Callithrix jacchus: one gene and its partners. The protein of the gene in region 2 purifies or fractionates together with the protein of the main gene of each other region. This does not show direct contact. Links are inferred from orthologs where the notes say so. Each region holds a gene or a part of one and is shown on either strand. Other genes may lie near its edges.

The links.
Region 1: the proteins of AP2S1 (region 2) and BMP2K purify together in Homo sapiens (affinity purification with mass spectrometry; 4 studies listed by BioGRID and IntAct, counting the BioPlex papers as one, with this or other methods). This does not show direct contact. The link is inferred for Callithrix jacchus from reciprocal best matches to the Homo sapiens genes AP2S1 and BMP2K.
Region 3: the proteins of AP2S1 (region 2) and NECAP2 purify together in Homo sapiens (affinity purification with mass spectrometry; 3 studies listed by BioGRID and IntAct, counting the BioPlex papers as one, with this or other methods). This does not show direct contact. The link is inferred for Callithrix jacchus from reciprocal best matches to the Homo sapiens genes AP2S1 and NECAP2.

Annotation. Positions count from the first base shown.
Region 1 is NC_133504.1:119,219,052-119,223,377, reverse strand, and holds the start of BMP2K (BMP-2-inducible protein kinase), read left to right. Parts: upstream 1-1,503; coding exon 1,504-1,675; exon of another isoform or gene 1,676-1,992; intron 1,993-4,326. Other genes in the region: uncharacterized protein LOC128931603, read right to left, coding at 948-1,505. UniProt on the Homo sapiens protein: May be involved in osteoblast differentiation.
Region 2 is NC_133523.1:40,819,961-40,824,195, reverse strand, and holds the start of AP2S1 (AP-2 complex subunit sigma), read left to right. Parts: upstream 1-1,418; 5' UTR 1,419-1,499; coding exon of another isoform or gene 1,500-1,502; 5' UTR 1,503-2,781; coding exon 2,782-2,913; intron 2,914-4,235. UniProt on the Homo sapiens protein: Component of the adaptor protein complex 2 (AP-2). Adaptor protein complexes function in protein transport via transport vesicles in different membrane traffic pathways.
Region 3 is NC_133508.1:53,756,636-53,760,202, reverse strand, and holds part of NECAP2 (adaptin ear-binding coat-associated protein 2), read right to left. Parts: intron 3,111-3,567; coding exon 3,010-3,110; intron 1-3,009. UniProt on the Homo sapiens protein: Involved in endocytosis.

The DNA of each region.
Region 1 (4,326 bases), on a different chromosome or scaffold from region 2:
GAGAACTGGCTGCTCTCTTTACACATGTCCTACAGTTTGTTATTACCTACCAATCCTGAAACGTTTTACACCCGTATTTGTTTTACTGCTTCGCCCTGCAGTCAGGAGACTCCTGCGGTTTATGAAACTGATGCAACGAGGCTTTTTTATTTTTGGTTGGGGGGAGGCGAATCTCTTCAAGAAGGGGACACAGTGGTTGCTTTTGCTTCCAAACAGCCCTATATCTGCCCATTTTTCGACGATCTGACCCTAACCTACTTTTTCAGGACGGCCAGAAGCACAAAATTATGAATCAAATAATGGTCCCTAACTACCACGTACCAGCTGTGACTTTGGGAGACTCCGTTCTTTTAGCCAAAGGTGATGGTCTATGAAACGGCCTTAATACCTGCTCTGAATACCCACATATGGCTGTTGTACAGCAGGCGTGAGGTGTTTAAAGTACTCCTAAGTAATTTATAAACTGCAAAACGCTTCCCAGCACAAGCGTCCGCTACAGAGCGCGACAACACCGAGTCGGCTTTAGAAACCCAGTTACTGGAATCCACTCCAGTTCCGTCCTGCTCCCACCTCCCACGTCAGGGTGGGCGAGCGGAAGAAGGTTCTCAGGGGAGAAGGCCTGAACAACTGGCTAAGAAAGGAAGCGAGAAGTTCCTTAGCAGAGGTAAAGTTGTTGGCGGCATTTTTAAGCCCCGAGAGTGACATAGCGACTCTCAGGCGAGATGATGGATCAGGGCGCTGGACTAGGAGCCAGTCCCTGGGCCACCTCCCAGGCCGAAGCCGGGCCTAGCCAGTACCCTCCCGGCGCAACCCTGGACCCAGGATCCCCGACTTTGCCCTCGTCCCCAACCCCCACAATCACCTCCCGTGGTCCCCCTCCACGTGACAAGAGGCGGAACCGTCACTTCCGGCGGCGCGGGCAGCGCGCCTGCGCTGGGCGACCAGCCTCAGTGAGCGGTTGGCGGCAGCGCTGCCCCGTCAACGGCCGCGAGTGGCGGGCGACTCGGGTCTGACGGGGGCAGCGGCGGTGCGGCGGGCTGCGGTCCTGCCAGCTTGCGGCCTGAGACGTCCAGCCTCCTGCCTGGAGAGGCCGGCCGCCCCGCCCCCTTCCCCGTCTCCCTTGCTCCCTCCCTCCACCCGGGCTCGCGCGCTTCAGGCGCAGAGTGAGGCAGCGGGGACGCCCAGGGCACTAGCGGAGGCGGCGGCATTGCCTCTGCACTCGGACCCGCCCCCTCGTGCCCCGCCCCGCCCCGTCCCGTCCCGTCCCCGCCCTCTCCACCGCCGTCTGCGGGAGCCTGGCAGCTGCAGCCGAGCCGCGGAGCGGGCGACCGGGGCCGGGGCTGTGCGCTCGGGGAGCACGGAATGTGAGGCTTGGCGGGCCGCAACGCGCTCGGACGCTCGGACCGGCTCGGGGCGGCGACCCCTCCCTGACGCCCGGCTGCGCGCTGGGCTGGGGACTCGCGCTCTTGGTCGCCCTTGCGCGCTCCCCGCGCGGGCGGGACCATGAAGAAGTTCTCTCGGATGCCCAAGTCGGAGGGCGGCAGCGGCGGCGGAGCGGCGGGTGGCGGGGCTGGCGGCGCTGTGACCAGCTGTGGCTCCGGCGGCTCGTCCGTGGGGGTCCGGGTGTTCGCGGTCGGCCGCTACCAGGTCACCCTGGAAGAGTCGCTGGCCGAAGGTACGGGTGCCCGGGGAGGCTTGGACAGGCAGGTGAGGGAGGGCTGGGGTGTGGCGGCGGCTTCTCCGGGTCTTCGCCCTCTGCACTGACTCTTGTACGCCGTTCTTCCTCCGCTGCCGGGCCAGCGGGGCTCTTAAAAGAGTGGCTCGGGCTTTCTCTTTTCAGCTGGCTTTTCTTGCCGCTGGCAGCTCTGGCCGGTGCACAGTTCTCTCATGCCGAGTTTAGTTCTCTCATGCCGAGTTTAAGTCAATTTCTATCCGTTTTGACGCGAGAAAATAGATAGAAGACGCGCTAGGAAGTGGGGTGGTGTTATGATTGGGACAGTGACTCATTAGAGGGTCAGATCAAACAGGATTGAAGCTCTGTTCTGCCAGCTGTGGCTCAGACGGGTGTCATGCGTTGGCCTCTTCGTCCGAGCCTCCACCCGCGCTGCAGGGCATAGGACCCTAAAGCCCCTGTTGTCGATCCCGGGTTTGCTGCAGCTCAGCCATCTGTTGAAAAACAGTGTATATGTGTGCATGTGTGCATGTTGGAGGTGATCCTTTAAATTCAGTTAGTAGGTTGCACTGGGAAACAGGTAAATTTGAAGCCCATTTATCTTTGTTATTTAGAATCTTCTCTGTTGGACAAGGTGTAATTCATGCCCTCTCAATATGACTTTGATAGTGGTTTAAAAGGTGATATGAAAGCAGGTTAATTTTCACTTGTGAAGTTTTGCGGTCGGTTCTTCAGGATCTGGAGCAGGTTATGACGGTAGGCAGAAGTCTACTTACAAAAAGAATTTATTTTAATACTCCATATTAAAAGAAAAATTTATTTCTTTTAATATTCCATATTAAAAGAAGAACTTAGACTTTAGTGTTGTATTTCTGGTATAATTGCCTTGTAGAAAACACTTTCCCTGTGTACTGCATGCTTCATTGGTCTGTGAGTTTTTAATTGCAAAATGATATTAAAAAATAAAAACCTTAAAAAATTCTTAAGAAATACATTTTGTTGATAAATGGCCCTTGTAAGTTCTATGGTTAAGATAAAAGAAATCGAAGAGTGGATTCAGTTCTCTGAGAGACGTTGATGTGGTTTGAAAAGAGTAGATTGAAGTTCCACTCGTATTTTTTGAAATGCTGTGAACAACGGTAAATTAGCACAAGAGAAAAACCTGAAGATTTTTGTATAAAGTATTCGAAAGAGAAAGAAATTGTGAATTATTCAGGTGTACATATCATTGCTCAGAATAATGATCTTAGCCGAAACTTAGAGAGGTGGGAGAAGGAGGATCCTTAGTTTTTCACAAGAATGAATATGTGGTGAGTGGTCTATAAAAGATTTACTATACTATAAAGTTTTCTAGCTCTTTATTACACATGAATTTCAATTGTTGGTTTACAATATGTTTTAGGTGTTAAGAACACATGTCTATTAAGTCAAATGTCATATATTGTCTTTGAATTGTTTTAGTAACTAATTGAAGTGTAGCTTGGGTAGTGTTAACGCTCACTTCATTCCACTAAATCCCAGATGGGTCTTTTTAATAGAAAAAATATATATATTGACATTTCACAAACTAGATTTTGAATTTGTATCACTCACTACCCTAAGCATATCCTATCACTACCCTAAGCAAACCATTTTCAATTAAAAAAAAACTTTGGAAAATAAAAAATAAAGATGAATTTCAAAAGGAGAGTTGATTCAACCACAGCAAAGAATGAAAATTTGTTTCAAGCGCTAATGTCACTGTTAGAGTGTTCCATATTGAGTTTTACCATAAATTCATCATTTCTCTTGAAAAATCAATAGTCAAGTGCTAGGAGGATGCAAGGGCTGAAGAAATCCTTTTGGAAGATGGGACTTCTCCATCCTATACCCCAGCTTTAATATCCTGGAGGGGAGGCCAAAGCCTAGGTTTTCTTCCCTTGTGTATTTTTGTTCTCTCTCCAGCACACTCACAACTGGAATTGTCTATGTATAATCAGTTTACTTTTTGATCCTGGCTGGTCTGTTCTTATTTCAGTTGCTTAATATCCCCTCTCCCTTCCAAATAAATAATGCTGCAATTTAGCCAAGATGTTTAAGCACAAGTCTAGTTCACATTTAAGTGTGATTAATCAATAGTTGATGGGTGTGCTTGATTGTAAAATTGGGCCAAATGCTTGTGAAAATGCATTAAAGTTTAGAGTACTTGATTTGGGGAGAGGCTTACCATTGAGTAGGAAAAGTGGTAGAAGCTAAGACAACCCGAAACACAAACTTGGTAGATTTTGCATTTTTTTGCTTTGGCCTAAGTTGTTTAAACAGAGCCAGGAAGACCTAACAGATTCTGTGCCCTGAAGTGTTTTTGCCATGCTCCTACAAACATTGGTAGCTTACTCATAATGACCTCTGTAGTATCTTTTCAGTAAGTCAGTCTGTGTCTCTCTTTCTCTTGTTATTTGTATATAATTAGTTATGTTCCAGAAAGTCACTGTGAAAACTGAATTAGCAAATCTTGAACCGTTGCTCCTACTACAGTGTTAGGTTCTTGAGAGCCTCTGTTCTCAACATTTTTGTCAGCTCATTAACATACAACCTTGTTTTGTGTGTATTGCAGTTTAAACACACCTTATTTAATATATTTGGTTGATTTATTAACATTGAAATCGTGGCCAACA
Region 2 (4,235 bases):
GAATGTGAATGCTGTGAGGGTGGGGGCAGTGCCTACTCTCTTGCTGAAAATGCATTCCTTCATTCAACAAATGTTTTTTCTTTTTCTTTCTTTTTTTTTTTTGAGATGGAGTCTTGCTCTTTTGCCCAGGCTGGAGTATAGTGGCACGATCTCGGCTCACTGCAACCTCTGCTCCCGGGTTCAAGAGATTCTCCTGCCTTAGCCTTCCAAGTAACTGGGATTACAGGTGTGCACCACCACGCCCAGCTAATTTTTGTAATTTTAGCAGAGAAGGGGTTTCACCATATTGGCCAGGTCGGTCTTGAACTCCTGACCTCGTGATCCACCCACCTCAGCCACCCAAAGTGCTGGGACTACAGGCATGAACCACCTCACCCAGCCCATTCAACAAATACTTATTGGCCACCACACTTGTGCCCAGTATTAAGTTGAGCACTGGAGATTAGGACTGGGACTAAGGGGAAGCAAGTGACGTGTTCAGGGCACAAAATAGAATGAGGCATGTACTCTCAGTCCTGTTTAAGAGAGGAATTGGCATGGAAGAGTGAGGTCCTTTCAGAAACTTTGCAACCTGGACACTTTGCTTAATGTCATCCTAGTATCAGCCCTGTTGGAGACGGAAAAGCACACAAGACAGAAATGATCTCTGGCTTCTTTTTGCCCCTGCAATATCTCATAACTATGTGTTGGTTATTCTGCCACCATATCTGAAATTTACATAATAATAATTATTATTTTTTGAGACGAAGTAGAGATGGGGTTTCACCATGCTGGCCAGGCAACTCCTGACCTCATGATCTGCCTCCCAAAGTGCTGGGATTACAGGCGTGAGCCCCCGGGCCCGGTCGGTCCAAATTCATGCTCTTAAACTGTTGTCTCCCGAGAGACACACGCAACATATTTTAAGCAAAGCACTGACCTGGTGTGGTGGTGGCTCATGTTTGTAATTCCCGTGATTTGGGAGGCTGAGTGTGGCTTGAAGCCAGGAGTTCGAGATTAACCTAGGCAATATATCTAGATCCCTGTTTTTATTTTTTTAAAAATTATAGAAAGCACTGGATGAGGAATGGAAAGATTTTCTAGCTCCCCAGAACAGTTTTAAAAATTTTAAAACTACTATTCCCAGCATGCCCTTCTCCCCTGGGTGGAGGGTGGGGCCTAGTAGAACTACATTTCCTCGAATGCAACGCCTGCACCGCTGGCTGTTTAGTATCTCGGGAATTGTAGTCCTATATAAAGATGTTGGTCCACAAATCCCAGCATGCACCTGTGATCCTACTCGTTTGGTAGGAAAAGGACGGGCTCTTGCCTCTTCACCCATCTTCACCCAGGCTGGCCCCATTGGTGAAACTACAATTCCCAGCGGTCTGTGCGCGAGAGGGCAGGCGGGTTTTTCTGCCGGAAGTCCGCTCTAGCTCAGGGCCCCCCAACTGCACCCTGAGCCGGAGCTGCCCAGTCGCCGCGGGAACGGGGCCGCTGGGGTCCGGACGGGGGTAGCCATGGTAACGGGGGCGCTCTACGCCGGGGACTGGCGGAGGGAAATGCACATGTAAATAGCCGAGGCTCGATCGGGCGCTGACAAGCCCCTCCTCTGCCGCGGATGGTCTGGGCCGGACGCGGGCTCTGGGGATTGGGGCCGATCCAGGGCCGGGAAGGAGGACACAGGGCGGGGATTCTCTGCGTGGGGGTCACCAGGGGTCTCGCGGGGAGGGGCATTGGGGGTGCGGTTCCAAAGGGAAAGGGCTGTGCAGGTGGGAGACATCGTAGATGGTTGGGAGCTTTGAAACGGGAGGAAACTCGCAAGGCACGGTCTTGGGGGTTGCGAGAAGGCATTGGAGGTGGGGAGGAGGCTTCCCAAAAAGGAAGGCGCTCTGGGAGTGTGGTGGGAGCGCTGGACAAGAACGGGGACCTTGGAACAGGGAAGGGAGGTTTTCTTGGTGTGAGGAGTCTCTAGAGACAAGGATTCGATTGCAGGTGGAGAGGGGATGTTGAACCAGGGTCAGGAGACTGCCTATGAGAGAGGGTTCATCTCAAGGAGAAGAGACCCGGCACAGGAAGCCAGAAGTAGGCAACTGTAGGGAGTGAGACTTAAGGGTCAGGGAAAGCGCTGTACAAGAAGTGAGGGCCTGGAGGTAAGATGAACACTAGGAATGAATGGGGAGCAGCTGAATAGATGTTGAATAGCAATTGAATAGGTCTTTCCAAGAGGAGAGATCTTGAGGGGTGGGGAATAGGCTTGGAAGTGTGAGATCTGGGGAGGGATCTTTGTTGGGGCAAAGACTGGACATTGAATTTCGGAGTGTCCCTGACACCCAGGCTGGGGCTTTGGATCTAGAAAAGGGTTGTTTGGGCCGGAAGTTTGGAAAGGGTGTCAGAGCCGGGAGCGGAGTCTCCTCCAGGAACAGGGTCCTTGGAGGCAAAATATGACCTTTTGAAGAAGGGAGGAGACCTGGGAATGGAACAAGGCATGTCACCAATTAAAAAGCCCACTGAGGCCCCAAGGAGGGGAACTGAGACTGGGAAAGTGGAGGTCAAAAGGGAACAACTCCAGAGGAGGAGGATTGGAGACAAGGAAGGTTGGGGGGCATCTAGAGGGAACAGCAGAGGCTCGAGGATGCAGGGATTCAGGACAGAGGGGACTTCTCAGGGTAGAGTCCTTGAGGAGGAGAGATTCCAGGTGGGAAGAAAACAGGAAGAAGTATACCAGGGAGTTTGGGAGTAAGAGGCAGAGTGTTTTGTCAACTCTGTGGGTTTGCCTCTAGTTCCCCTTCTTCTGTGTTCATGTCTCTGGCTCTGCTTCTAGGCTGTAGCTACCTTGTGTGGGTCCTAAAACGTCCCTTCCTGCCCGGGACCCTTGCACTGCTAGGAAGTGGTTTTCTCTGGCTCAGCAGAAGGAGTTCTTGGAAGAAGAGTGTAATATCCTGTTCCTGTCCAGTTTGGTTGGTTGGGGGAGGGAGGATAGAGTGTGTGGAGAAAAAGAGTGAATTCTCTTTCCTAAGAGAAGACTCTCAACCTTGGGCGGTGACTCATGCCTGTAATCCCAGCACTTTGGGAGGCCAAGATAGGTGGGTCACAGGAGGTCAGGAGTTCAAGACCAGCCTGGCCAACATGGTGAAACCCCATCTCTACTAAAAATACAAAAATTAGCCAGGCGTGGTGGTGGACGTCTGTAATCCCAGCTACTTGGGAGGCTGAGGCAGAAGAATCGCTTGAACCCGGGTGGTGGAGGCTGCAGTGAGCTGAGACCGTGCCACTGCACTCCAGCCTAGGTAACAGAGTGAGACTCTGACCACCCCCCCCTCCCCAACACACACACAAAAGGACAGGACAAGAGGATTCTCTTTCCTAAGAGAAGAGGCTCCCACAAGTTCGGTCAGGGGTTCAGAGCAAAGCCTTTGGACTCCCACCTCTGCTTTCTGGCTGTGAGACTTCCTTTCCCTGAATCTCAGTTTCCTCATCTATAAAATGGGCGTAAGCATGCCTGTCTCAGACAGAAGTGGGCCCAGAGCTTCCAGCAGGGTAAGCTTGGCCCCTGGTTTTCTGAAAATCACATAATGAAACGTGATGCTGCTAAGAGCTGGTACTTTTTTTTTTTTTTTTGAGAGGGAGCCTCGCTTTGTCATCCATGCTGGAGTACAGTGGCGCGATCTTGGCTCACTGTAACCTCCGCCTCCTGGGTTCAAGCGATTCTCCTGCCTTCGCCTCCCAAGTAGCTGGGATTACAGGCATGTGCCACCACACCCAGCCAAATTTTTTCTTTCTTTTTTTTTTTTTTTTTTTTTTTTTTTGTATTTTTAGTAGAGACAGGGTTTCGCCCTGTTGGCCAGGCTGGTCTCGAACTCCTGATCTCAGGGATCCACCTGCCTCAGCCTCCTAAAATGCTAGGATTACCGGTGTGAGCCACCACACCTGGCCCAAGAGCTGGTACTTATTTTTTTTGTTTAATTTTAAATAAAGATAAAGATGGGGTTTCACCATATTGGCCAGGCTGGTCTCAAACTCCTGACCTCAGGTGATCCGCCCGCCTCAGCCTCCCAAAGTGCTGGTTACAGGTGTGAGCCACTGCGCCCAGCTGAGCTGGTACTTATCTAACACTTTGTACTAGTCACTGTACTACACCTCTATTCTTTTTTTTTTTTTTTTTTGAGACAGTCTAGTTCTTTCACCCAGGCTGGAGTGCAGTGGTGCCATCTCAGCTTACTACACCCTCTGCCTCCTGGATTGAAGCAATTCTC
Region 3 (3,567 bases), on a different chromosome or scaffold from region 2:
TCTGAAGCAGGTTGATTTAATTCAATCTGAGTTATAGTGTAAGTGTGAGTAGCTTTAAAAGGATCCTTTGTGAAACACATCACCTTGTCAACTACAGCACTCGACAGGCGCAGTGCAACGTAAAACTTCCATGAGCATTTATGACTGGCATCAGTTTTTTGCATGTGCTGACCTCTGTTAGTGCTTTTAGTATTTTTTGTTTTGTCTTTTAGATATAGGGTCATGAACTGGGTATGGTCCCAGCACTGCGGGTATGGGTATGTTGCTTGAGACCAGAAATTTGATTTATACCTTTTTTTTTTTTTCCCTGAGATGGAATCTCGCCCTATCGCCCAGGCTGGATTGCAGTGGCGTGATCTCAGCTCACTGCAACCTCTGCCTGCCAGGTTCAAACAATTCTCCTGCCTCAATCTCCCGAGCAGCGGAGTTTTAGATTCAATTGTCTGAATTTAACCAGGTGCCTGTCACTGCACCCGGCTAATTTTTGTATTTTTAGTAGAGGTGGGGTTTCACCATGTTGGCCAGGCTGGCCTTGAACTCCTGACCTCAAGTGATCCACCCACCTCAGCCTCCCAAAGTGCTGGGATTACAGGCATGAGCCACTGCACCCAGCCAAGCCCAGGAATTTGAGACCAGCATGAGCAATATGGGGAAACCCGGTCTCTACAAAAAATATAAAAATTAGCCAAGCATGGTGGCATGCACATTTAGTCCCAGCTCCCTGGGGGACTAAGGCAGGAGGATCCCTTAACCCCAGGAGAGTTGGAGGATGCAGTGAGCTGAGATTGCGCCACTGCACTCCAGCCAGGGTGACCAAAAAAAAAAAAAAGAAAGAAAGAAAGAAAGAAACAGGGTCATGCTCTGTTGCCCAGGTTGGAGTGCAGTGTGCAGCGGATCATAGTTCACTGTAGCCTCGACCCCTGGGCTCAAGTAATCTTCCTGCTTCAGCCTCTCGAGTAGCTGGGAATATAGGCACATACCACCATGTCCACTCAATTTATTTTATTAGAGATAGAGTCTTGATATGTTGTCCAGGCTGCTAACTCCTGGCCTCAAGTGATCCTCCCACTTTGGTCTCTCAAAGCCCTAGGATTATAGGCATGAGTCACACCTGGCTGGTGCTTTAGGTATTTAACCAAATACCTTCTACTGAGTCCTGTGGTTTAGAGGTAACTTTGTTTTTTGGGTTTTTGTTTTCTTTTTCAAACAGTCTTGCTCTGTCACCCAGGCTGGAGTACAGTGGCAAAATCTCAGCTCATTGCAACATACACCTCCTTGGTTCAAGTGATTCTTGTGCCTCAGCCTCTGAAGTAGCTGGGATCACAGGTGTGCACCACCACGCCTGGCTAATTTTTGTATTTTTATTAGAGACAGTGTTTTGTCATATTGCCCAGGCTGGTCTGGAATTCCTGGGCTCAAGTAATCCACCTGTCTTGGCCTCCTGAAGTGCTGGGATTATAGGCATGAGCTACCATGCCCTGCCTAGAGGTAATTTTGTAATCAAGGCTGAACTGATTCAAAACCAACAGCCCTAGAATCTGCAGCTTGTCAAATTTATTTGCCTTCTGTTCCAACCTCACCAAGATACCTTCAGCCTACAGCAGTTCTCAAGCAGGGGCAATTTTGCTCCCCTGTCCCCAAGAGACATCTAGAAATGTTTAGAGATAATTTTGATTGACACAACTTGGGGGGTGCTGCTAAATATCCTCATTGGGCTCCACAGCTCTCCAAAACAAAGACCCATCTGGCCCCAAATGTCAACAGTGCCGAGGCTGAGAAAGCCTGGCCTAGAGTGATATGCTCATTACCTCATGGGAAGGTCAGAGACTAACGTGATCCAGGTATGACCTTAAGCAAAGACCACCTTGGGGTGGGTCCCACAGGGCAGGCTAAGCCCTGGGCAGTGGCTGTTACATTAGGTAGTCATGTTAAAGTCACAGTTCCCAAATTCCCCAGAGAACAAGAGGTGTTACCATTCTCTCATGACACTACCTGGGATATCCCAGCAATTCTCTAGCTAAAATCCTCTGGTCTGGCCATGGCAGCTGCCTCTTCAAACTCCTCTGCCGCCAGAACGCAAGTTCCCAAAGAACACATCAATGCTTTGGGTTGCCTTGCGGCTCATAAAGCAATCAGATAAGTATCTGCTCACTTCCTATCTCCAACAATTTTATGAAGGAGTAACTAACATGATCCTCATTTCAACAAGAAGGAAGCCAAGGCTCCAGAGGTCACATGGCTCACCCAATGTCCAGCAGCTCCGGCAGAACATAGTTCTGAGAAGAGGCAGCCAGTTCTGTCTCTAAACTTTTGCACTTTCTTCTGCTCTACAAAGGAAAATCTCTACAGATTAAAAAAAAAATGACTGAACGTTGTGGCACCTGACTGGGCCAGCACTATGTCCGACCCCACTCGGGGTGGCAGCGAGGGGTACTCCAGAGGTATTGCCGTCCACAGCTCACCCAGAGGCACTGGTGGCCCAGGACCTGTGAAGTTTCCCTCAAGACGATCTCTGCCAGCTGACCCCAACATGACCCACCTCGGCCTGTCCTCTCCCTACAGAAAGAGCTGAGTAGGACAGTTTTCAGCTCCTTCAGTGAATGGGTGTGGTCAGCTCTGGGAGCTTCGCTGATAAACAATTCCTCTGTAGGAAGCAGAGCCCAGCGGTAGAGGCTGTGCATCTTTACCCCGACTGTCTTCAAGGCCAATTCCAGGGCTTCCTACTTCCTACCCAGACCAAGCTGCAGTCTCCTTTCCTTGGCCTCCGCATTTTCCTGAGGACTCCTAAAAAGAACTGGTGCTTAACAGGAAATACTCGTTTGTACACCTGGGGACAGTACATTCTACAACTAAGGTGAGGGAATGGTACAGCTTAAAGGTATACACACATTTCTGACTTTCAGGACAGGTTCCCATGACTCCTGAGCAGCCTGGCCAGACCAGGCCAACTCTCCCTTCATAAAGTGGGAGTGCAATCCCTCAGCTTGGAGCGGCCTCCCTTGCGGTTACCTGAGGTCCTGTCCTCCAGCTTGATGTAGGCCATCTGCCCCTTTGCAGTGATCCTCAGCCGGCCACTCCATGACGGCTGGTCCAGCTGCCACTCCGCGGCCCTGAAGAGACAAACACCACTGAACCTCTGCCAGAGGCTCCTGCTTCATGACCCCAATGCTGAGGATGGAAAGGGCTACTTGTTCTAGCCCAAGGGTTGGCAGACATTTTCTGTAAAGGGTCAGACAGTAAATATCTTTGGCTTTTCAGGCAACACAGCCTGCCACAAGGCATCTCTGCTGTAAAAGCAATATGGTACATGCACATGTTGATGCTTTAGGTATCTTGAATGAATATTTTCTACTGAGCACAGCTGTATTTCAATCAAATTGTAGACACTGAAACCTGAAATTCATATAATGTTCTCAGTTTGAAATATTCTCCTTTAAAAATTTTCCAAACCATTGAAAAAATATAAAAACCATTCTTAGGTATGAGCCATACAAAAACACAGTAGGTTGTCGATGGAGGACCCATTCTCTAGACCAGAGTCCTCCTCCGGATAGGACTTCCTTCCGG